Linked DNA regions of Struthio camelus. The protein of the gene in region 1 purifies or fractionates together with the protein of each later gene. This does not show direct contact. Links are inferred from orthologs where the notes say so. Each region holds a gene or a part of one and is shown on either strand. Other genes may lie near its edges. The genes, in order: DICER1, AGO3 and AGO1.

The links.
Region 2: the proteins of DICER1 (region 1) and AGO3 purify together in Homo sapiens (affinity purification with mass spectrometry; 3 studies listed by BioGRID and IntAct, with this or other methods). This does not show direct contact. The link is inferred for Struthio camelus from reciprocal best matches to the Homo sapiens genes DICER1 and AGO3.
Region 3: the proteins of DICER1 (region 1) and AGO1 purify together in Homo sapiens (co-immunoprecipitation; 7 studies listed by BioGRID and IntAct, with this or other methods). This does not show direct contact. The link is inferred for Struthio camelus from reciprocal best matches to the Homo sapiens genes DICER1 and AGO1.

Annotation. Positions count from the first base shown.
Region 1 is NC_090946.1:67,305,868-67,312,825, forward strand, and holds the start of DICER1 (endoribonuclease Dicer), read right to left. Parts: upstream 3,062-6,958; 5' UTR 2,837-3,061; exon of another isoform or gene 2,772-2,836; intron 2,770-2,771; coding exon of another isoform or gene 1,993-2,769; intron 1,698-1,992; exon of another isoform or gene 1,543-1,697; intron 1-1,542. Other genes in the region: uncharacterized protein C10orf95-like, read right to left, coding at 1,993-2,769. UniProt on the Homo sapiens protein: Double-stranded RNA (dsRNA) endoribonuclease playing a central role in short dsRNA-mediated post-transcriptional gene silencing.
Region 2 is NC_090964.1:10,064,964-10,072,308, reverse strand, and holds the start of AGO3 (protein argonaute-3), read right to left. Parts: upstream 3,066-7,345; 5' UTR 3,013-3,065; coding exon 2,976-3,012; exon of another isoform or gene 1-2,975. Other genes in the region: AGO1 (protein argonaute-1), read right to left, coding at 3,347-3,455, 4,078-4,277, 5,181-5,282, 6,248-6,382, 6,874-7,068.
Region 3 is NC_090964.1:10,042,703-10,050,247, reverse strand, and holds the start of AGO1 (protein argonaute-1), read right to left. Parts: upstream 3,015-7,545; 5' UTR 2,961-3,014; coding exon 2,936-2,960; intron 1-2,935.

The DNA.
Region 1 (6,958 bases):
TACTGACCTTTACAAGAAGGATAAACACCTTCTATTTGTCTCTGCCAGTAACTTGCATTTGGTTACAGAGAGATACAAGTTTACCCAGTTCATACTGAAAGGCAACATGGGTGAAGCAGTGATACTCAGTTTCTGTAATAAGGTATGCTAAAGCAACTTTGCACCACCTATGAACTTTCCTGAAGAATGTGAAAAAGCCCTTACTAATTTTTGGAATGGGAAATGAGAAAGATCTAGGGAATATACAAAAAAACCAAGGGAACAGTGTTTTGAGTTACAGGTTCAGCCTTTTTGTTGTTGTTAATCTTTAAGCTACAACTCTTCAAGGCATTTCTCAATCAATCAGTGTAATTTATGTTAAAACATTAGAATAACATTGTGTCGGACAAAATATCTTTCTAGCTTGTTGGCTTCCCTCTACTGGTGACCAGTGGAGGACACGTAGGAAGGAACGTAATAGCTAGGCAAGCAGTACTACTTTCCACTGACCAGTCACCTTGACATTTTCTAAGTCTTTGTGCTTGACAGTCTCCGATGAATTTTTTTCTTTACAAACCAATTATTTTGACCTCTATGTAAGGTTTTGGCATTCCCAATGTGCTGTTGAAGCAGGTATTCTAGCTAAACAGAATGTGAAAGATTGTCTTTTGTTTGATTTGAATCTGTCAACTACAGAAACCTCAAAGAAGCGGAGGGGAGGGAAACCCTAACAACTGCTCCTAACTTGCTTTTTTCACAACTATATTGCATAGACATCTCTCTTATTCCTCTTCTGGCATCTCAACTGGCTACAAATTTCTAGTACTTAAGCCACCTAGTCAGCTTTCTCTCTACCTTTTCTTAGTCTAACATAACCTTTGGCATATGGAAGAAAGATACACCCAAACTGCATGCAGTGTTAAAAGTAAGGGTCCAGCATGGACTTGCACAATAGCATACTGATGCCATTTGATTGTCAATTATTTGTAAATTCTAACATTATTTTCTTTTTACTGATGAGTACTGAGCTGCCATTTTCATTGAACTCTATCAGATCAAGATACTTTCCTAAACAGCAGTAGCTAATTCAGAGTCTGAACAAATACATACACATTTTTAAATCCTATGGATTAAGAACAATGACGAAACAATTGGGAGATCATACATGTGCACGCCCCTTCCAGCTGAAAACTTCTAGTAGCATCTTCAAGCCTTTTATATAGTTATACAGATTACAACGTATCTTGTAAAGACAGACAACAGGAAAGTCCCTCTTAAGGATTTAGGACAATAATTCTGGCTTAATAGAAATCAATTCCAGTTTGCATCTGTATCAACTTAACACAAAAAACCCACCCACACCCACAAGGAAACCCTCACATCTATCTCAATAAAAAACATGTATGCTGTTTGCACTTCAGCTGGGCATCCGAAATGGTCTGTAAATCAAAAAGCCCTTCAAACACAGTAAAACAGCGTAAACCAAGTTTCTGCAAAGTTAATTCTGATTTGATTCGCCCTTTGTCTTGTTTCTTTGAGAGTGGCAACCACCTTCCAACCTACATGCTTTCATCAGGCGAGGCACTGCATATCTTGAAGCTCAGTATCCTAACACCAAGAATACTCATAACTCATTATCTGAGGCGCCAAGCATCCTCCAGACTTTTAGCAGTTGAAGACAATTGCATCAGTCACTTATATTTTGGAAACAGTCATTTCTATAAATAAACAAAGAATATTTCAAAATGTCATTGCTACAATCCTTTTTCTATCTATTGAGGATTTTCTACATTATCTATTATCTCACTAGTATTAAATCCTATTACAAAAAATATTTGCTTTTTCATCTTTTGTCTTTTCAGCCTAAGATCACACAGTATAAGGTATGCCCTAACCACGTTGCCACTGCGTTGCCGCTCTATGCGGACAGTCCTCACTTAAATTGGACGAGGATGGAGGAAAAAAAGAAAAAAGAAAAAGAAAAGCAGAGAGCTAAGAATTTCATATAACTCCTTAACCGTAGCACCGAAGAGTGGAAACACGTTTGCTGCCCTGCACTCCTCGCCCCAACCCCCGCCACGCAACACGGCACAACCGCTCCGGGAAGCCGCAGCCCGGAGAGGGCAGAGCGCGGGCCCTCAAGCGCGCACGGCGGCAGGCCCCGAGCGCGGCTGCCCGCGGGGCGCGCAGCGACGAGACAAAGCCGGCCGAGAGGGGCCGGAGCGCGGCGGCGGCGCCGGCCGGGCCCTGCCGCCACCCGACGCGCGGGGCCCGGGCCCTGCCGGCGGCGGGAAGTTGCTGGGGTCGATGGCGGAGGTCGGTGCTGGCGGCGGCCGGAGCAGCGGGGCGCCCGCGGGGACGGCGGCTGGGACGGAGGCGGGGCAGGACTAACCGGGGCCAGCGGCCGGAGGGCGGGGAGGCAGCGCCCGCCGCCATTCCACCCCCCGGCGGCGCGGCGCGGCCGCGGCGGGGGAGAGCGCGGGCCGGCGCGGGCGCTGGGCTCCGGCACCCGTGCCCGGCCGCCATGCAGCCGCCGCGGCGAGGGCAGGCGCGCCTGGGCCGCCATCTCCTACCTGCTCGGACGGGACCCAGCCCGGCGCTTCCCCCCACTACAGGCCGCGTCTCATTGTGTTGCTGCCGCCGCCGCCATTTCCCCGCCGCCGCCTCCTCGCTCCCCCCAACTGTCAGGTTCCTCCATTCACCTGGGCCCGGGATAGCCTCCTCCCCCTCCCTTCCCCCTGCGCTGCCGGCCCTACGCAAACGGAGCACCTCCCCACCCCTCCCGCCCATACCAACAGGGGCCGCCCAACGCCCGCAACGCAAGCCCGCTCCGAGAATGTCACCCTGCGCAGCTCACACGCTCCACATCCCCGCAGCATGAAAGGAGCCAGGCGATTGGCGGCAACAGCTGGGTAAAAGGTGAAAGGTTCACAGGCTAGCCAATGAGATGGCGAGATACAGCAGCGGTTGAGGAGATGCGGGGTGGTCCAGGGGCTCACGTGTGTGCCCTCTCCCCTCCCCCGGCCGGAGGAGCGCGAGGCGCCGAGCCGCCGGTGCCGTGTCTCGTTCCGCCTCCCCCCCCCCCCCCCCGCGCACGCGCTTGGGCGGGGCTCGCGCGCGAGAGGCGGTGGCGGCCGTTCGGCTGAGGCGAGGCAGCACCCGCCATGTTGGGAGGGGGTGAGGCTCCCCAGGCTGGTGCGGGCTGTGGGGACGGCGAGGCCGCCTCCAGGGAGTTTTTCTTGCCGCTGAGGCAGGGCTGCTCAGGGCGAGCAGAATCTGGGCCTCCCTCGCTACTCTGTTGCTATATCCCACTTTTTCCTTACGCAGAGGCAGTCATTTCTCTGAGGAGTATCCTCCCTGCCAAAGGAAAAGAGCCGCTCTTCCACCATGGAGCTAGCGCCCTCGGCTCTTGCTGGCGCTAGCCCCAGACAAGATGGATGTGGGTCTGGCTGCTACTGGTCAGCAGCCACCTCTGCTCACTGCTGCTCGTCGAAGCTGGCAGAACAGAGCTGCTGTGCGATCTCATCCAGCTGGTGAACTGTGTTTATGACTGCAAGGAGATTTACATCCTTACAAAGGAAAGTTGAACAGGTCTCTCTCATCACGGTGTCAAAAATGAATGTTTCGCAGCAATAAAAGTGAAAGGTCTTGGAAGCCATTGCCACCACAGGACAAATAGTATCAGTGGTTCAAGAAAGAATAGATTGATACTGTCCATAAACAGATACCAAAGAGAAGGAAAGTTAGGGAGATAGATACCTCCGAACATCACAAAGTCAATGACAGTGGAAGAAGAAAGGACCACAGGCAGTGGCGAGGTTCTTGTACTCCCTGAACAGCACTTCCTTTTGCAATTGCTTGAGGCAGAGTATCAGCTAGCTGAACCACGGGCCTCATTCCAGTTTCTTGTCAACATTTACTTGCTTAAGTGACTTTACTAACTACTACTACTACGTTAAGAAAAAAAAAAAAAACCTGAAATCCCTTGGGTTAAACAGACAGTTGATGCGGGGTAACTGTTTCTCCAGTGTCAAAAACCTGTGCCCACAGATGAAGAACCCAAGATAAGGGAAAAGTATGGTGCTGAAACATTAGCAGAACACAATTTTTCTGGTACTTCACATACTACCATTTTCCACCTTTTATTTCTGTGACGCCATTGATATCAAAATCTGGAAGCTGTGCCCTGGAAAAACTGAGGTGAAACTTGCAAGACAATGAAAGAGCTTTGAACAAATCTAAAGTATGAATTGGGCTGCAGTATAACCAGAAAACAAATGAAATCGCTGACCAACTGTGCTACAAGATGGATGTAAGCAGTGCAAATCTGTACTGTTAATTCAGTTTTCCTACTTAACTTTTTCTCCATGTCCTTCACTCATATCCACACATATCCAAAAGCACCATTACTTTGAAGTAATTTTTATGCTGTCTGTGCAGAGAAAAATGTGTTTTCCACATCAAGTATACTTTACCATAGTAATGAGAGCAATACACTTAAAGCTCAGAAGAACAAGACTACAAACCTGCCCATAGTGCCAACGAACAGTCAAGTCTGTGGACTACTCATACATCACTACACCAACAATGTAAAGATTTAGCCACATGTGGGCAATGTGGTCGTTCTTGTGCGAGGAAATCTTTAAATAATGTAAATTTACATACCTGGCTCTGTTTTGCCTGCTCCTGGCACCTCGTCTCCTCAGTGGATAAATTTGGTTGTATACTGTATTTCACTGATCCTGTTGGCCCTGCAAAACACTGCAAGCTGTTTCAGGTGTGCAAGTATAGCACAAGTTACGTTTGTGGTAGTCCAGGCAGGCAAGTTAGGACTATCGTAAGATCACATTTACTTACACAGGGATTGGAGATCCTCCTTGTTCCATAACAGATTATAATAAGATCATAAATTTAATAAAAAGCTGCCTCTGGCTAACCACTCTCCTTTTAAGTTGTGCTAAACTTTATGCACATGCAGTGGAAGATCTGGCACTGGAGATGCAGCCTTCTTCATTCCATTCCCACTCAACCAGGGATTTACTGCCTTGCATAATGCAACTATGTGTGCCTACAAAATCAGTTTGAGAAGGTAAAGTTGACTGGAGCACTATACGGTTTAAACTCTAGTAAAATGATTTGGGGAGAAAAGTGATTTGGAGGCCTAGAGTATTATCAAATTAAGTGCTTTCTTTACTTGGTTAAAACCTCTGTCGCCATTTAGAACTCTTCTTCTGGAATGCTAATGTTATTAAATATTGAAGTATTAAGTATTTTTGTAGCATGCAAAGGGTATCCTTCTGTTTTTATGGATGGAAGACTAATTCTATCCCATGATAAAACCTTAAGAAGAGGAGCAGCTGTTAAGTCTTATCCAGTGGGAGCTGTCAGAACACGTGTCTATTTTTCCAATTTTAGCTGAAGTACTGAAGAAAATTAGCATTCTTGATTATTTCTAATGTAAAATAGAGCAGAAGGAAACTCTCTTCAATCCTTTGCAGGCCATGGTTAAATAATGAATTTTATCCAATTTTATCCAATTCAAAGAGAAGGCAAGCAGAATTCTTAAAACACAGAAAACAATGCATATAAATGCCAAAAGAATTCTGGAAGTTATTTTTGTATAAAGAAAAGGATGTCTTTCTCCACAGCTACTTCCTCCTTAAGCCTGCTGACAGGAGTTTGTGATTTAAAAGCACAGTTAGGATCAACTTTGTGCGGTACTTTGTTATTCCATCACCTCTAGCTTCTCTCCTTTGTAAGGAATGGATATTTTATGTCATATGCTTGTATTGTGACAGCTAGCTGTCAGAGTTTAACCCCAAATCAAAAATTGATTTTTATGTTGATTTCACAAATGTCTTTAAAAGATTTGTAAAGAAAATTAAGCTGAATTCATCAATGCAATACAAAATTCTAAAAATCCCACATATTTCCAACTACTTGACATTCAATGTTTGATTAAAAACAAACAGGCCATTGGGGGAAAGGAATTGAATAGCTCAGCTAATTAAAATCCAGAACAGCATAAATGAATAATTCACCAAATTATAGCTTTCTCCATTTCTTTAGAACTGGAAATACTGATAATGAGATAACTGTTGTAAGACAACAACAGGAAAACAGAAACATTTCTCTCCCTTCCCCTTTCCAAAAATGTATGTTTTGTTTCTATTTTTTTCGTATTGGGTAAGAAAAAAAAAAACCTTTGTGTTTAGGTTAGAAAAAAGCAAAAATGCAGTTTCTGCAAAACTCAGTAATTAGCCTTGTGCATGCTATAGAATTTTGAAATTATGCCAGCAGAAAATAGGCTTTGTGCTTTTTGATTTGATTTATCTTCTCAAATTCTAAAATGGATTCTGAAGATAATTCTTCTTGCAAGTTAATGGTGACCTCTGTTGTTCTCTGTTGCTGGTACCAGCCGTGATGCTGTTTTGTCCCTATATCATACACTATTTCAATAATATACTTTGAAATAAGCTGACAGTTATCCAGAAACAACTGCAGGCCAGAGTGTTGTAAGCAAGTTTCTGGATAGGAAAGGATGTGACTATTCTGCACCCACCTTCAGAAAATTTAACTTGAGACTTTCCTCTCAGCCAGTCTCTTGTCTGGCTACCAGGTTTTTTAGTTCATAGTTGTGAACCACTGCAGAAAAGAGACAGTTACAAACATTAAGTGTGGCTACACTGCTAATAGTAACATATGTAATGTATTATGAGAAAAAGATGCAGGTGTGACTATGGAGGAGGAAGTTGAAAGAAAGCAAGAACCTATATTTGAACTGAATCCATTCCTAAAATTGGAGCTGAGATTTTAAAAAGGTGTGAGGTTTGCACAAAGTTTTGGTCCCCTCTAAGATGCTATTTGCAATCTTTTTCCTTAGTGCTTTCACACTTCAATGACCCAGACTTCATAACTCTAAATAAGGGTATTTTCCCTACTGCAAGAGAAACTTTAACATTTTTAATTGCTTTAGTGT
Region 2 (7,345 bases), on another chromosome or scaffold:
TCATACGCTTGCAAATACCAGAACACTCCGACTGCCTTCCCACTAAGCTCTCCTGAGGGCTGTTCTGCCCTCATGCACCCTGTTATGTTCAGATATGAGATAAGGGAAACAAACAGCATTCAACAATTGACAGATAAATGAAAGTTATTCCTCTTCCCACAAATCTGCATGCACTCGGCAGTTTTTCCAGTTGCACAACGGACACGTGCGCATTTAGAAGGTAGAGACTCGGGAGCCATTCAGGATGACTGTGTGGGGTTTGTGGCTAATTACAAATCGTGATATGTATACAGGTTAACACCTATCTGCTATGGGTAGCAAAACGCACAGCACCTCAACATGCAATTACTCATTTGCATCTTGGACAAGAAAAGGGTAGAAATACTGAATGCTGGAGCCGTGTGGAAGGTACAGTGCATAGTCCATTATACAAAACATGCGGGTAACTCGAACCCTTTCTAAAACCTCTTCAAAATGGAAATATGGTTTAAAGGGCACAGCAGCTGAGTTTGGCTTATTTATTTCTTTAAAACCATGAAAAACCCAATGCAGAGGGTGAAGTAAGGGCAGAACACGATCTGCAAGTCAACAGCTGAGAGTTTCAGAAGCCATGAAGCTTTTGTGTAGTTAAAATTGCTGTTAAAAGTAGGTGCTACATCAGCAAGTCTTCATTCATAGTTTTCTATGAACAGCCACCTTACAAATGAGTGCAAATCTTAAAGGTCCATTTTACATTTCAAGTCTCAAGGTTAAAAAAAAAATTGTTACAGAGCAACAAGCTGTTTCTGTAAATGCCCACGCTATCTCTTTTCAAATGGCTAAAAATGGCATGTGCTATGCCACAGCTACTAAAAGACATTTCAGAATTCTAGACCCAACTAAAACGTTAAAATAAAAAGTAGAAATCAAAATACCTTTGCCCTTAGCTGCCAAAGAGCAGCAAGGTGCTTTCGGTCATAATGCTGGTGAACAAACTGATTTGCAGAGAGAACCTTGACCATAACCCCCCAGTTTTATTCTCAGTGAGGGGCTTCCTAATACAAGGTGGGTGGGTATAGCCCCTCTGAGATCATTTCGCTTTCAATGAACACAAGCCAGAGTTCTGAGGATGAAATGGGAGAGGTGCTGAATTTGTGTCACTATGCAGGCACTTGTGTATAGGAATGTAGGCGTCTCATGTTGACACTTAGTGTTCACTCATTCCCTACTCTCTAAAAGCCCCCTTAAGAGCTCACTACCCTACTGACCATGAATGGTTCTTGGCTTTCTCCCCATCACCTTGTAGGTATACAGCAGTGGAGTTTGACACAAGGTGCAAAGGAGAACATGAGCCAAATACTGTAGTCTTGAGAAAAATACAACTGTGCTAAATGTAGGATCTTCACAAAACGTGACATCAGTGGGCTCAGCACTTAGTTTGCATAGCATATTGATGTCTTCATTTTTCACAAACGTGTTGCCCCAAAAGAAAACCAGTACACTGAATTCTTGGTATTAGGACAGAGCAATGGGTCAACATGACTAATGCTTTTATGAACTACTAGCAAGGCAAGTTTAAACATCAGAAAGGACAAAATAAAAAGGCGTGCTTTATCAATGCATGCTGACAAAGGGCAGTGCTTGTGATAGGCTTTGAAAATGCGTTCACTTTTGGCAGTAAATTGATAACAGAGCTCTTCCCCTTAAGAGCTCAGTAGCAGTGTACACGTAACTCTTTCTCTCGAAGGAAGCTTTGTGCACATTTTCATATCAACAAAAATCAGATAATCTGCCCACACGCTATTGGTAAGGAGTTGCTACTACTGCCCTGCTGTGCAGAATGGTCATTCTGTACAGCAAAATGAGTCCAAAAAACAGTCACTGTTTTACTGTTGGAAAAAAAAGGCTTTTTCCCCATTACAAACAAAAATTAGTAGGAGTTTCCCCCAGGACAATAACAAGTATTTCGTAAGTCTGACTAAGGAATAATCTGGTGTGCTTTCAGAATAAAAACCCTGTGCATGAAATCAGTGATACCATGACACAAAAGAGCAGCAAAACCTAGCAGCAGAATCTATGACAGTTTGGACATGCTGAAGTCGGGGTACGTGGTAGTTCAGAAAGCGGTCAGCCCATACGGACACGTGAGGAACGCACATGACGCATGGGAGACGAGGGCATTGAGGAATACCCCAAAGCTGCGTGGACTGCAGTTTGTAACGCACGCATCGGACAGGAAACGTTAGAGATCTCTGGCGGGAGCGCACAGCCTCAGGAAGTGCAGTGATGTAAACTCTGAGAATGTTAATGACTTGTGTATTTTGGCAACAGACTCAGTATCATATAAAAATAATGTTTAGTAAAAAAATCCCGGTGTCCATCATAGAAAGTCAGAAAAAAAATAATCGATAGCAATTTCTGTCCTCATGGGGTGAAGATGCCCCCATTTGTCAGAAACAGTTTTAAATAACAAGTAGTACATTGGAAACAAAAATGGGTCAGCAGCCATTAAACTTGTCCTATATGAAAGTGCACATCTTTCAATGGAGTTCAACCACCGTGAGGTTGTGATCTAACACAAACTGCAACTTAGGACCATAAAAATTAACTCCTTCCGATGGAAATATGGACCACCATCAAGACAAGGTTACTATTTTCCTTACAAGATTAAAAACATTGAAATTTTGCAGCATCATAGTAAGGCACTCACCCATGGAAAAGTCTGTGACTGTTGCTTCGAATGGCAGCAGCTAACTAGCTTTTAACACAAGGAAGACAGTTTTCAGTTCTGAGCTAAGTGCTAGGGTGCCTTACATTATATGGGGGGGAATTATTTGGGGGGGAACTGTTAGTGTTAGAATTCTCCTATAAACTAGTTGTTTTTCCCCTTAACCCATTAAAGCATCTCATATTCTAAAATATTAGTTTTATAAATCTAGTCTTCTGTTTTAAGGCTCTAAAAATCCCCTCCCCCCAACCCCACAAAAAATACCTACCAGCGCCTGGTGGGCAACGGAGGACCAAATCCGCCATTTCACAGTCAGGAGTCTATAGTATTGCATCTTAAAAATGAAAACCTGCTTCTGCCTCCTGGAAGTTTTATCCCTTCCTTAAATGCCTTCACGTGTTTGGTCAGGTCAAAATTTTGCAAAGCCAGAAAAATTAAAAAAATAATCAGTCTCTTCCAATCCTACAAAGGTGTTGGATCTTTCTGTCCCGTGGTGCTGGTCTCCTGCCTCAAATCGACGCTGCCTGCCCTGCAGTGATTTCTCATTGGAAAAAAAACAAGGTGTCCCAATGCTTCCTTTTTTGTATGGCTCCTACAAATCTGAAAGCTTTCTTGAGTGAGGTAACAAAAGTTAGGCTTTCAAGCAAAGTACATGGTACGTAAAGTGTCCTGATGAACCTGCACAGCCTTCGCCAAGGCTTGGGGGTCTCTGCCGTTGCTCTGTCCAGATATATGGCTGCCCTCGCCGCTGAAAGCGCAAGAAAATCACTGCGTAATTATTTAAGGCTTTCCCCGTAGGAACGTTGGGAAATCCCCGCGCAGGTCAGGGACCAGGATGCTGGATGCCATCTGCACCTCTGCCTTGCACCAAGGTCAAGGCGAGCCCCCACAGTCACCTCACGGCAGCTCCCGACCAACGGACCCAGCCCACCAGCCACCGTGGGGGATGCGAGACCCCCACGCTGTGGCGCTGGGGCCTGGCGATCGCTCACCTCTTCCTGGCTTATTGACGCCGCTGGGGAGAAGGATGGTGGCACGCGGCTGTCCCCGAGCACCAGCATGCTAGGTGCGCTGGGAACCGTGCCCAGCATGGCAGAGATGCCGGCATCCCGAGGAGGCTAGCAACGCTCAAACACCCCGAGGTGGTCACTGCAGGGCCTGGGCGAGCCCAGGACGGGGTATTAGCCCCCTTTATCCCCGCTCCTGCCGGGCTGAGCCCTACGAGGACATGGCTACGCGCGAGTCTCCCCAGGAACGGCTCTGCAGCAAAGCTGCTCCCATCCAGCCGCGTTCAGACACAGAAGCAGGGTGCCGCTCACTGGCTGGTCACCCCTGCGGTCCCTGCTCCGGGGACGCGCGTGGCCGCTCACCTGTCGTGCTCCTTGTCCACGAGGTGGTAGCGGGCCCTGAACGCCACCAGCCGAGCGTAGTAGGCCGGCGCTGGGATGGAGACCGAGCGGGTGCAGCGCACGTAGGTATGGCACAGCTGGTAGGTGAGGATCTGCAGCTCATCCGCGGTGAACCGGTTGTCATCCCAGAGGACGTAGTAGTGGGACGGCCGGCTCGTGCCCTGGGGAGGAGAGCGGGCGGTGTGGGAGGTGCTGCCCGCGCCCAAACACGAGGCGGCCGCAAGCGCTGTGCGGGAGAGGGGCCCGCAGGAGACGTCGCCCCCTCCCCGAGGTGAGGTCGGTTCACCCCATCCATCTGCCTCTCATTTCCACGCTCTATCCTGCCCTTCCCTAAGCCAAGGGCACCGCAAGACAGGAAAAAGCACTTTGCACCGAGGTGCAAACCAGCGCTAAAGCAGCTGCCCAGCCGCCCCGTTGCCAGACGCCCCGGGGAGCGAGCAGCAGCGACCTGCCGACCGGCGCAGCGCACCGCCTCCCTGCTGCACCGAGCCGGGCTCCCCCGCGGCTCCCCCTGAACCGGGCCAGCTCCGCGCTGTCCTTGCAGGCAGAGAGGAAGCCAAAAAGCCTCCCTTGCGGAAGCAGCTATAAATCAAGTGATTCAAGCCACAATTTTTTTCAGTGCAGCTTCTGACTAATCTTGGCTGCCTGAAGGAAGGCAGCTGCAAAGCAACCCGCCTGCTCCGGCCGGCTGTCCCCAACTCTCCACCCGCAGCCAGACCACGGATCCCGTCTGACGAGCAGGAGCACCGCGAGCCCAGCACGAGACGCCAGCTGACAAGCTGCTGATTTGGCCTCTCCAAAGGAGGAAATTCTCCAAGAGATCCTCGGCTCCAGGAGGGAGAGTAAGTAGGTGCCATGTACCGCAGCGGCTGTGCCATCCTGGCACCTGCTCCCCCAGGCGCTGCAACGGCCGCTCGGACAGAGCTGCCCACGTCTCCAGGGCCAGCCTTCGCCTTCCCCAAGGGAGGCGGCAGGAAGGGCCCCGTCTCACGTGCGAGAACGCAGCTCACAACCACAACAGAGGAAAAACGGCAGGATCACAACATCAGCTTGGAGCACGGTACCTGAATGCCTGCATGACTGCACAGGTAGAAGTCAAACTCAAAAGGGTGGGTGATATTTGTATCTACTGTTGTTCCCGCTGGGATGTTCCCACTCTTCCCAATCTGCAGGGAATAAAAAGAGATCCAAGCACCACAGTGTTGGGTTATTTCCAGTTTGGGAGCACCGTGCCGAGCAGTTCCACAAGCGCCTATTAAGTGGGGAGCAGAAGCACCTCTCCCTGCTCTGCCCTCTGCCCAAACAGGCTTGCTGGCATTTCCTGCCAGCATCAACACCAGGCACGACACTCAAACAGAGCAACCTACAGCTAAGGGGAAGCAGGCAGGCTGAAGGCTGGGCACCGGCCCATCCTGCTGCAGGAACGACGATTAAGTGGGCAAAAAGTCCAGGGATCTCTGCAGACAGTTTACGCTAGAGCTTCTGCCGTAAGGTATCACGGCTCTTATGCCAAGATCAAAACCTGTTCTCAGTCCCAAGGTTAAATCCTCATGATCAGGTAGAGGCAGAGTCTGGTCAGATTAGATCAAAATTAAATTTAGATCAAATCTAGGAAAAGTTATAGCAATCAATGAGTTACTCGGTGCTTTTGTTGCACAGGTAACACTCTCCTCCCAAACTCACAATTGCTCGATTCACGCCCTCAATAGCATATACACCTGCAAGGCAGAACAGCCCACCGCAAGTCCTGTTTTTTGGACTTCTGCTTGCACAGCACAAGATGTGAACAAGCTGTGAGCAAGCATGGGGTTATTCCTCCTGCCCCAATGTCAGCAGCTACAGCAATCACCAAAACAACAGATGTTTTCAAGCTGACAGAGGCCGTTTCAAGAGAGTCACCAGGATCATCTGCACCCAGTAACTCATAACAACAGCAAACAGCTGCCTGGATTTCTTGAAGCAGCCTAATCGGCACAGATGCAAGAGTCAGCTTAGCAGCGTGTTTCAGGCAGGGAAGAGGGCTCTGCCTGCCAGCAGGGCGCTTTCCACCCTGCGCAGCTCCGGGCTGGCTCTGCGTTAATGCCAGCGACGAATCGGACACCGCCGGCCCCCGGCGCTCCGCAGCGCTCACCCGCTCGTTCTTGTCCGCGCAGAAGAGGCGGGTGTGATGCCTTTTCTGGACAACGATGTAAGTGATGCCAGGCTGGTAATCCTTTTCCAGTTTGATGCAGGCGTCTCGGATTGCCAAGAGCTCATAGTGAAGGATCTAGAGACACAACCGCGCGCAGAGTGAGGCAACGCACGGGCTGGCTCCCACGCCCAGCTGCTCTCATGCACCCGTAGGGCACCCGCAGGAGCCGACGCAGGTTTAGGCAGTGGCAGGAGCAAGAGACCTAATCCTCTCCCCTGCGAGCCCTCCTGGAAAAGCTGCCTCGGCACGGTCTATACCCAAACACAAGTGGAAAAAGAGGAGAGCAAAACACCCGTTGTCCCAAGCTGCTTGGTGGCCGCAGGCTGCCCTGCACATCCCGAGTGGACTCCCAGATGCCCAGCACCCCCAGAGTTGCAAGCCTTTGGCCCAGCTCCCGCCAGCAGAATTAGCCCAATGCCTCCAGTGTGCACAAAGCCTTTCAGCAAACCCAACAACCTCAAACAGCACAAATGCCAGCAAGGCAAACCCAGGCCTTAAAGCCCCTTCCCTCTAGCCAGAGGCAGGTCGGCTCTGCCGGCCCAGCACGGCGCCCAGGGGTTCCTCACCTGCGGGAGCTGCCCCTCGGGAACGCCGTCGCGGTAGAAGATGATCCTGGTAGGTTTGAAGCGAGTGGATTTGTAGAACTGGATGAGAAGCTCCCTCACCATGTAGGACAAGTCCTCGATGATTTCCTGGCGAGGACGCTGCACGCGCACCGTGGCACAGTACCGGCTGGGGTGGGCATCCATGCTGCCCACGACCTGCAGTGACAGAGGTGAGCCAGGCCCACGAGTTACAATAAGGAGGACGGAGGGGACGTGGGACATTCCTGGCCTTCGAACACCCACAGCTGACAGCAGGCCCGAGCCGTCCCCGAGCTCCCAGACAGTGAGAGAAGAGAGCAAAGACCAAAAAGGACTTCCACGGTGGTGGCCACATCTTGGTTTCATGCTCTGCATGGTCCTCACTGGAATTTCCAGCGAGACGGCGGGCTGACACCGCCGAGCCACACAGCCGCTACGTGTGAACGGGGGTTTT
Region 3 (7,545 bases), on another chromosome or scaffold:
GCGCACATGTGATTTCATGTTTCCTGAAGATAAAAGAGATCCCGCAGAAACAACGGCTTCGGGTTTTCTGCAGGGTTTAGCACAGGAAGACAACGGTTAAGATTAACAGCGCGTAGGAAGTTTGCAAGGGATAAAGAAACCTGCAAGTTGGGGAGAAACCGGGTTTAGCTTCGAAAACCACCAGGCGTGTAGACGCTCCTGCCCCAGGGCCCCCCAGCTCCCCTCCGCCGCGCCGACGGGGAGGCGGCGGCAGGGGCACGGCGCCGACGCGGGACGGACGCCCCAGGGAGCCGGCGGGCGCCCAGCCCCAGCCACGCGGCCGGCCGGCGGAAACCGGGCACGAGGCGCGCTCGGCTCGCGGTCGGGACGCGGCGCCCTCCAGCCGCCCGCCGCGGGGGAAGAGGCGCTCCCGGCGCTGCTGCTCTTTCTCGGCGGGGTTTGTTGGTTTTCCGCGCGTGCACGGTGAGCCGGGCGGTCCCGTCCCGTCGGGAGGCACCGTCTCCGCGCCAGCACCAGGCTCGGGAACCAGGCTTAACGTTAAGATGTTGCAGGGGGCGAAAGGGCAGCTCTGAAGAGCAGAGCATCGCAGAGCTCCCAGCGCAGCCCGGAGCCCTCCGCGCCCCCGGCACCGCGCACCACCCCGCCAGACGCGCTCCCGGCTTAAACAAGCGTTAGCTACTGTTAAAAGCACCGACCCATTTCTAAAGCACCTTCACGGAACGACGCGAGCCCCGCGACACCAGCACGCGAGGCACGGCAGCGGCGTTATCCGCCTTTTCCCGGCGGCGGCACAGAGCAGCCCCATCTCGCCCGCGGAGGCGCAGCAAGCCGCTGGCAAAGCCCCCGCTCCCGCGCTAATCTCTAAATCACCGCGTGCAGAAGGCCAATAAATCAGCGCCGAACGTCCCCTTCTAGCTGCCAGCGGTTTGCACAGACACGAAGACGTCTCCGCTACGCTTCAAGCGAACTGCGCCGAAGAAGGATCAAAGTTGGATTTCAGGCGTGCAGCTGCTTTACAGCGAAGCCGCGCCGCGCCGGGCGACGCCGCAGCCGGCCGAGGCGCTCGCGCCCCTCTGCCCGGCTCCCGGCCCCGTTCTCAGGCAGCAAAACTCTTCCGCGAACTGCAGCGGTTTGCGAACCCCGCGCCAGCCGACACGGCAGCCGGGCAGGCGCAGCTTCGAGGAGCGGCTCCCGACGACCCCGCGCGCCCATCCGCGGCCCGCAGCTCCCACGTTTAACCGGGCGCGCGGGGGGCGAACCCCCCGCGGCGACAGCAGAGGAGCCGCTTCGTGCCGGACCCGGCGCCGGGCAAGGAGAGGAAGAGGAGGGAGGAGGATGCCGCCTCTCCTTGGAAAAGGAGCAGCGTGGCGCATCCCGAGCCTGCGCCCCTTTTCTTCGCCCCGGAGGAGCCCGAAGGGGGAAACCTGCTGCCCCCTCGCTGCGCCCACACCGCAGCCCCCCGCCCCCCGGGACCCCCCTCTCCCCCCTCTACTGCGTAATGCCCCTCTGTGCAACCCCACGGCACGGCCCCCACTACTGCCCCCGTTGCACAGCCCTGACCCCCACATTGCACCCCCCTCAGTTCCCCCTGCACAGCTCCCTGATTCTGGGGGGGGGGGGGGGCAACCCCACTGCAGGGTCCCCCCGGACACCCCATCCCTCAACCCCCACTGCAGGGCTCCCCACTGCACACTCCTCACCCCCCCATCGCACAGCCCCGCAGCGCGCCCCTCTCGCCCCCAATGCAGGCCTCCAAGGCACACCTCTCTCCTCACCCCTGCAGACCCCTCGCCCCCCACCGCACACCCCCCACCGCACACCTCTCGTCCCCCTAATATGCACCTCCTGCCCTTCTGCTGCAGACCCCCTATTGCACAACGCTCCTCAGCTCCCTATTGCACATCCCCATCACACACCCCTCAACCCCAATGCAGACCCCCACTGCACACCCCTTGCCCCCCCAATGCAGACCCCCATTGCACACCCCTCGCCCCCCAATGCACACCCCCACTGCACAGCACCATTGCACACCCCTCGCCCCCCCAATGCAGACCCCCACTGCACATCCCCATTGCACACCCCCGCCCCCAATGAGCACCCCCATTGCACACACCTCACCCCAATATAGACCCCTATTGCACACCTCCACTGCACACCCCTCGCCCCCCCAATGCAGACCCCCAATGAGCACCCCCATTGCACACACCTCACCCCAATATAGACCCCTATTGCACACCTCCACTGCACACCCCTCGCCCCCCCAATGCAGACCCCCATTGCACATCCCCATTGCACACACCTCACCCCAATATAGACCCCTATTGCACACCTCCACTGCACACCCCTCGCCCCCCCAATACAGACCCCCAATGAGCACCCCCATTGCACACACCTCACCCCAATATAGACCCCTATTGCACACCTCCACTGCACACCCCTCGCCCCCCCAATGCAGACCCCCATTGCACATCCCCATTGCACACACCTCACCCCAATATAGACCCCTATTGCACACCTCCACTGCACACCCCTCGCCCCCCCAATGCAGACCCCCATTGCACATCCCCATTGCACACACCTCACCCCAATATAGACCCCTATTGCACACCTCCACTGCACACCCCTCGCCCCCCCAATGCAGACCCCCATTGCACATCCCCATTGCACACACCTCACCCCAGTATAGACCCCCATTACACAGCCCCACTGCACACCCCCCGCCCCCAATGCACACCCCCATTGCACACACCTCACCCCAATATAGCCCTCCACTGCACACCCCCATTGCACACCCCTCGCCTCCCAACGCAGACCCCCGTTGCACGTCCCTCGCCCCCCGCTACAGACCCCCACTGCGCACCCCTCGCCCCCCATTGCACACCCCCCCCCCGCACGCTCCTGCAGTCGCCCCCCGCTGCGGAGCCCCCGCCGCTACCTGCTCCCGAGGGTCCCGCTTCCATCCCATCCACGCGGGCTCCGCACCGCTCCGCGCCGGGGGGCCGGGAGGGGGCGGGGGGGGGGGCCGCGGGCAGGGCCGGGCCGGGCCGGGCCGGGGCCGGGGCCGCTGCTGCACCGCCGCCCGCCGCAGCCGCCTCCACGCCTGCGCCCCAGCGCGCATGCGCCGCGCCGCCCCGCGCCCAACAAAGGCGGCGCGCCCGGCCCGGCGGCCCCCGGCGGCCCCTGGCGGCGCGGCGCGGCGCAGCGCGGCCCGCCGCCCTCCCGCCGCCATCTTGGGCCCGCCGCGAGGCGGGAAGGCGGCCGGCGCCTCGCGTGGGGGGGGTTGGGGGGGGTTGGTGGAGAGATGCCACCAACCCGAGTCACGATTTTTCTCACGTTTTGGACGGTCTCTTTCCAAAATCTTAACGGCTCCCGCAGGAGCGAACAACGCGAAGCCGACGGCTCCGGCGCCTCTCCTCGGTATCTGAGGCCGCGGGGCCCCCGCCGCGGCCAGCGTCGGAGGACTCGAGGGCAGCACGAGGTTTCCAGGCTCGTCGGGGACAACGCGATAGAAACCGTCGCCGCTCACCGGCTCGGCCAGGAGAAAGGCCCCGAGGCTTCCCACCTCCTTCCCCCTGTCTCCCCCCTTCCTCCAGACCAGCGCGCTCGCAGAGCGCAGCATGTACCGCGGAGAAGGCGGCAGGGGGGCCCCAGCGAAACCGTGAGCGCGGGCGCCGCAGCTTCATCGCGTCCCCAGGAGGGGACGAGAGCGGCCGCGCTGGAAGCAGGACGCCTCGGAGAGCTTTCCTCGGGCGGCCTTCAGTTATAGAGCCACCAATTAACAAAATGAATGCTTTAATAACTGATGTCCTGCTGTGTTGTCAGCTCACAGGAGCTGAGATGGTCACAGTTCCCTTGGGGGTTTATGATGAGATGCCTTTTACAGCTGAGCTTTTTTGGTTTGGTTTCTTTGAGGCTTTTTTTTTTTTTCCTTGCCAGATTGGGGAGAAAACAGCAGGGGATGTGTTCAATTTTTATTTACTTTTAAGGGTTCTCTGTCCAGAGCCTTGCTGGCAAAAGATCAGGGTTGGGTGCCCGGTTGTCTCCAGCCCGGTGAGCGCCGTGTTTGGAGCCCCCTCTCGTGGTATTGTTGCACCTAAAAGCAAGCAAAACGAGATGGAAAAGCCTGGGCCAGAAGCAACCCATGTTCAACTGTGTATTTGAGACCAGGTCTCACCAAATAGTGGAATCCACAGATCCTACGGTGGAGCGGAACGCAACATGGCGCTCGCATGCAGTTCACGCTACGAGATGTATAGACTATGAGAGCAGAATTGCTGTCCTGAAGCAGAACACACATCAAGATACACCATGAATCAAAATACCGTTAGTTAAGATACCGTGCCGAACAGTTAAGTCGGTTGTCCGTGAAGTTGCTTTACTGAACCTGACAAACCCTGGAACAAGTTCCTCACCCCTCTCTTCTCCTTCCTCCCACATTGCTGCTTTCAGTTATGCTCTCTAAAGGCCTAAAAGCCCTTTACCCTGTTGAGCAGGCAGCCTCTGCTACCCAATGCCCCTCAGCCTTTTAATTATCCATTCTCTAGGCTGCTGGACAATTCCCTGATGAGTTTCCTTCCAGGTTAAGGCACATGTTTACTTTAAAGTACTTTGGAGCTCCAAAACATGAGCAGCCCCAGGGTTCTTCAGTTTGATCCAAGTGATCTTCCCCTTTGAATCATTTTGGAAAGGCACTGGCATCAAAGTTAGCTTTTGCTTCTGAACTACTTAAGCTTGCCTGAAGCTGAATAATCTCAATTCCCAAACCCACAGGATTTCTACTGCAAAAAAAATATTAAAACCCAAAAGTACTGATTTGCTAAAGATGCAGGTTATTTTAAGCAATCATGTGTCCTGAGCTCATTTGTAGCTTGCATGTTTTATCCTCGTCCGAAAGCTTTTTTGTCCTTATCCTGTATTTTTAGGGAGATAGCCGTACAAAAGAGGAAACGAACCCTCACCTGAAATTCAGAGGATGAATAAACATACAGCTCTTTCATTTACTAGTTTCTGACTTTCTAATATAGAATCACTACTCCAGGTAGATACAGTCTATTGACACCATATTTTCTCAAGACATTGCTATATAATTTCTGGGAACATTAAAAAAATAAGCCCATTGTGAACATATCTCTATGTGGTTAGCACAGGCTCTGAAAACAGGCAGTTTTAAGTCCTCTGAGTGTCACTGAAGATGTCATCCATGTATATTTCTATTGCTTTCTAAGTCCTAGCATATCAGAAATAAATATCTTGTGGCAATGAGTTCCACAGGTTACACATCGTGTACGAGTTTTAATTAAAAGTTAAATAATTTAAGAAAGACATTTGTTTACAGGCAACAGTATCAGTTGCTCACTCTGTACATTGCATTTATTAGACATCAACAAGGAAAAACAACATTTGGCACAATAATGCCATTTTTTTTTATTTTTGGACACATGAACACAAAATATCCCTGCAGGCTAAAAAAAATACATTGCAAATTGTACACGACCAGCATCTTATCGCAACGTGGGGCTGCTAACCCACCCATAACAGTTTAGAAAGAGTACCTCGTATTGCTATAGACATACATCCAGTCCAAATTTAATAAAATACAATTTTAAACATTACAAGTCTAACAATATAGAAACAAAAATTACATCATAAGTCAAAATGAACAAATGCAAACATTTTACATTGAAGTTTCAGCTTCTAGACATAGAAATATGAAAATGTCAATAGCAAGGTATATGAAAATCTGTAAGTGATATTACAAGATCTTTCCTCAAATTCACAAGGAAAAAACCTTGTAGTTGAAACAGTATTGATACAATGCCCTCCAAACTCTGCTTTCTTAAAATGAAAGCAGAGTTACTCCCTTGCTATTGAGCAAGAAAAATCCTACAGCACATCCACGAAGGTAGGTTGGGGCGGGGGGGTGGATTCTGTCAAACACCGTATCTGAACAAAAGCTGCCTTTACCCATTTGAAGAGCAAAGCTTGTGATATAGGTAAATGAGCTCTGACACTTGTGTCTGGAACGAGATAATGTACTGCATGAAGCATGTTTGCCTGTATATCACAACCCTGTATGCCCTTTGGATGCTTCTCCAGGCATTAAACTGAACTGTAGTACTTACAATAAGAATAAATAAGCCAGGCTGTCCAAACGTTTGTGACAGGCTAACTAGTGATTTCCAGAGCTTGTTCAGAATTCAGCTGTTCACAAAGCAAGCAGAACTGGTTTGAAAACGGGGTTTCTGCTATTTTTGTTGTTGTTGTTGTTTTTGAAATGTCAACCACGCCCTCCCCAACTCTTTAAAAACTTTGCTACATTTAAAATCTTTCACACCACATAGCTAAACAGTGGCCAACAGGCTTTATTTATTAAAAAACAAAAACAAAAAAAACCACCCTAAGAACTACATCTACAGAATGCACATCTTCCCATTGATTGACACATGCATAACGATTCAGTCAGTCCCAAGGGGTTAATTCAGATCGTCAGGCTCAACCTCTAGACTCGGCTTTCAGACCTGCGTACAACAGTATTGCTGAAACTTTGATCGTAGTTACCACCAAGCAACAGTCCTAACCTTAATGCTCTTCTCCTCTCAAAGTGACAGCACAGCACCCTTACCAGTGTTTCATTACAACAACGTTCTAACGTGAAGATTGAGTTAAATTTCTCGCCCTGCTTCCCGGGGCTAGCTGAGGTCTAACAATCTGTATAGTCTGAGGTCAAATATTCAGTCCAATCACAGGCAAACGAAGGAGAGGCTCTCACGTCACTCAATCTGAACTAGGAGTGCTTGGCACTGGACAACTAACTGGTGATACAACTAAGTATTTCTTATGCACCCTTGATTAAACCAGTTACATTCTTGCCTAGTGCACAAACCCAAGCAATGATCTTTGATTCTATAATCTAAGAAGGGTGCTCAATTTCTCTTAAAGGTGCCAAAGTTCTCCATATACGTCGGGTCAGTCGGAGTTCATTCTGAAAAGGGGTTTTTTGTATTCTCCCTGAATGAGTACTGAGAAAAGCAGCCATCTAGCTGAAGCAGCGGTCAGTCTCCCACCCACATGTCCTGATTTTATTACACAAGTGAGGTATTCTTTAAAAAAAATTAAAAAAACTAAAAAGAATTTTGTTTTCAATCTAAACCTGTCCACAATACGTGCCAGGAGCAAAGTTTGCTTCAGTCCCATTTTCAACAGAAAAGAAAAAAAAGTTTAAACTTAATTTAATGAGACATACTACTTGAAAGAAGGTTATAAAACTGCTTGAAGACTAAGTTCAGTGTACTCTGGTACAACTGAAAAACAGCATTTAGAAATGTAAACTTTAATTTATTTACAAGCTTAAAGACTGAAGGAAACAGCATTTCATATTGCTGAAATTTTGAGGGGGCTGGTTCCTAAGCTTTGGAACAGCAGACAACTTAGCAGCAAACCCCACACTAGTATCAGAGACCACAGTGCAATCGTTGGACTTCTCACACTTTTGTTACCAAAGTAATGGTGTTAGCTATACTCAGTTTAGGAATAAGCTTTTAATCT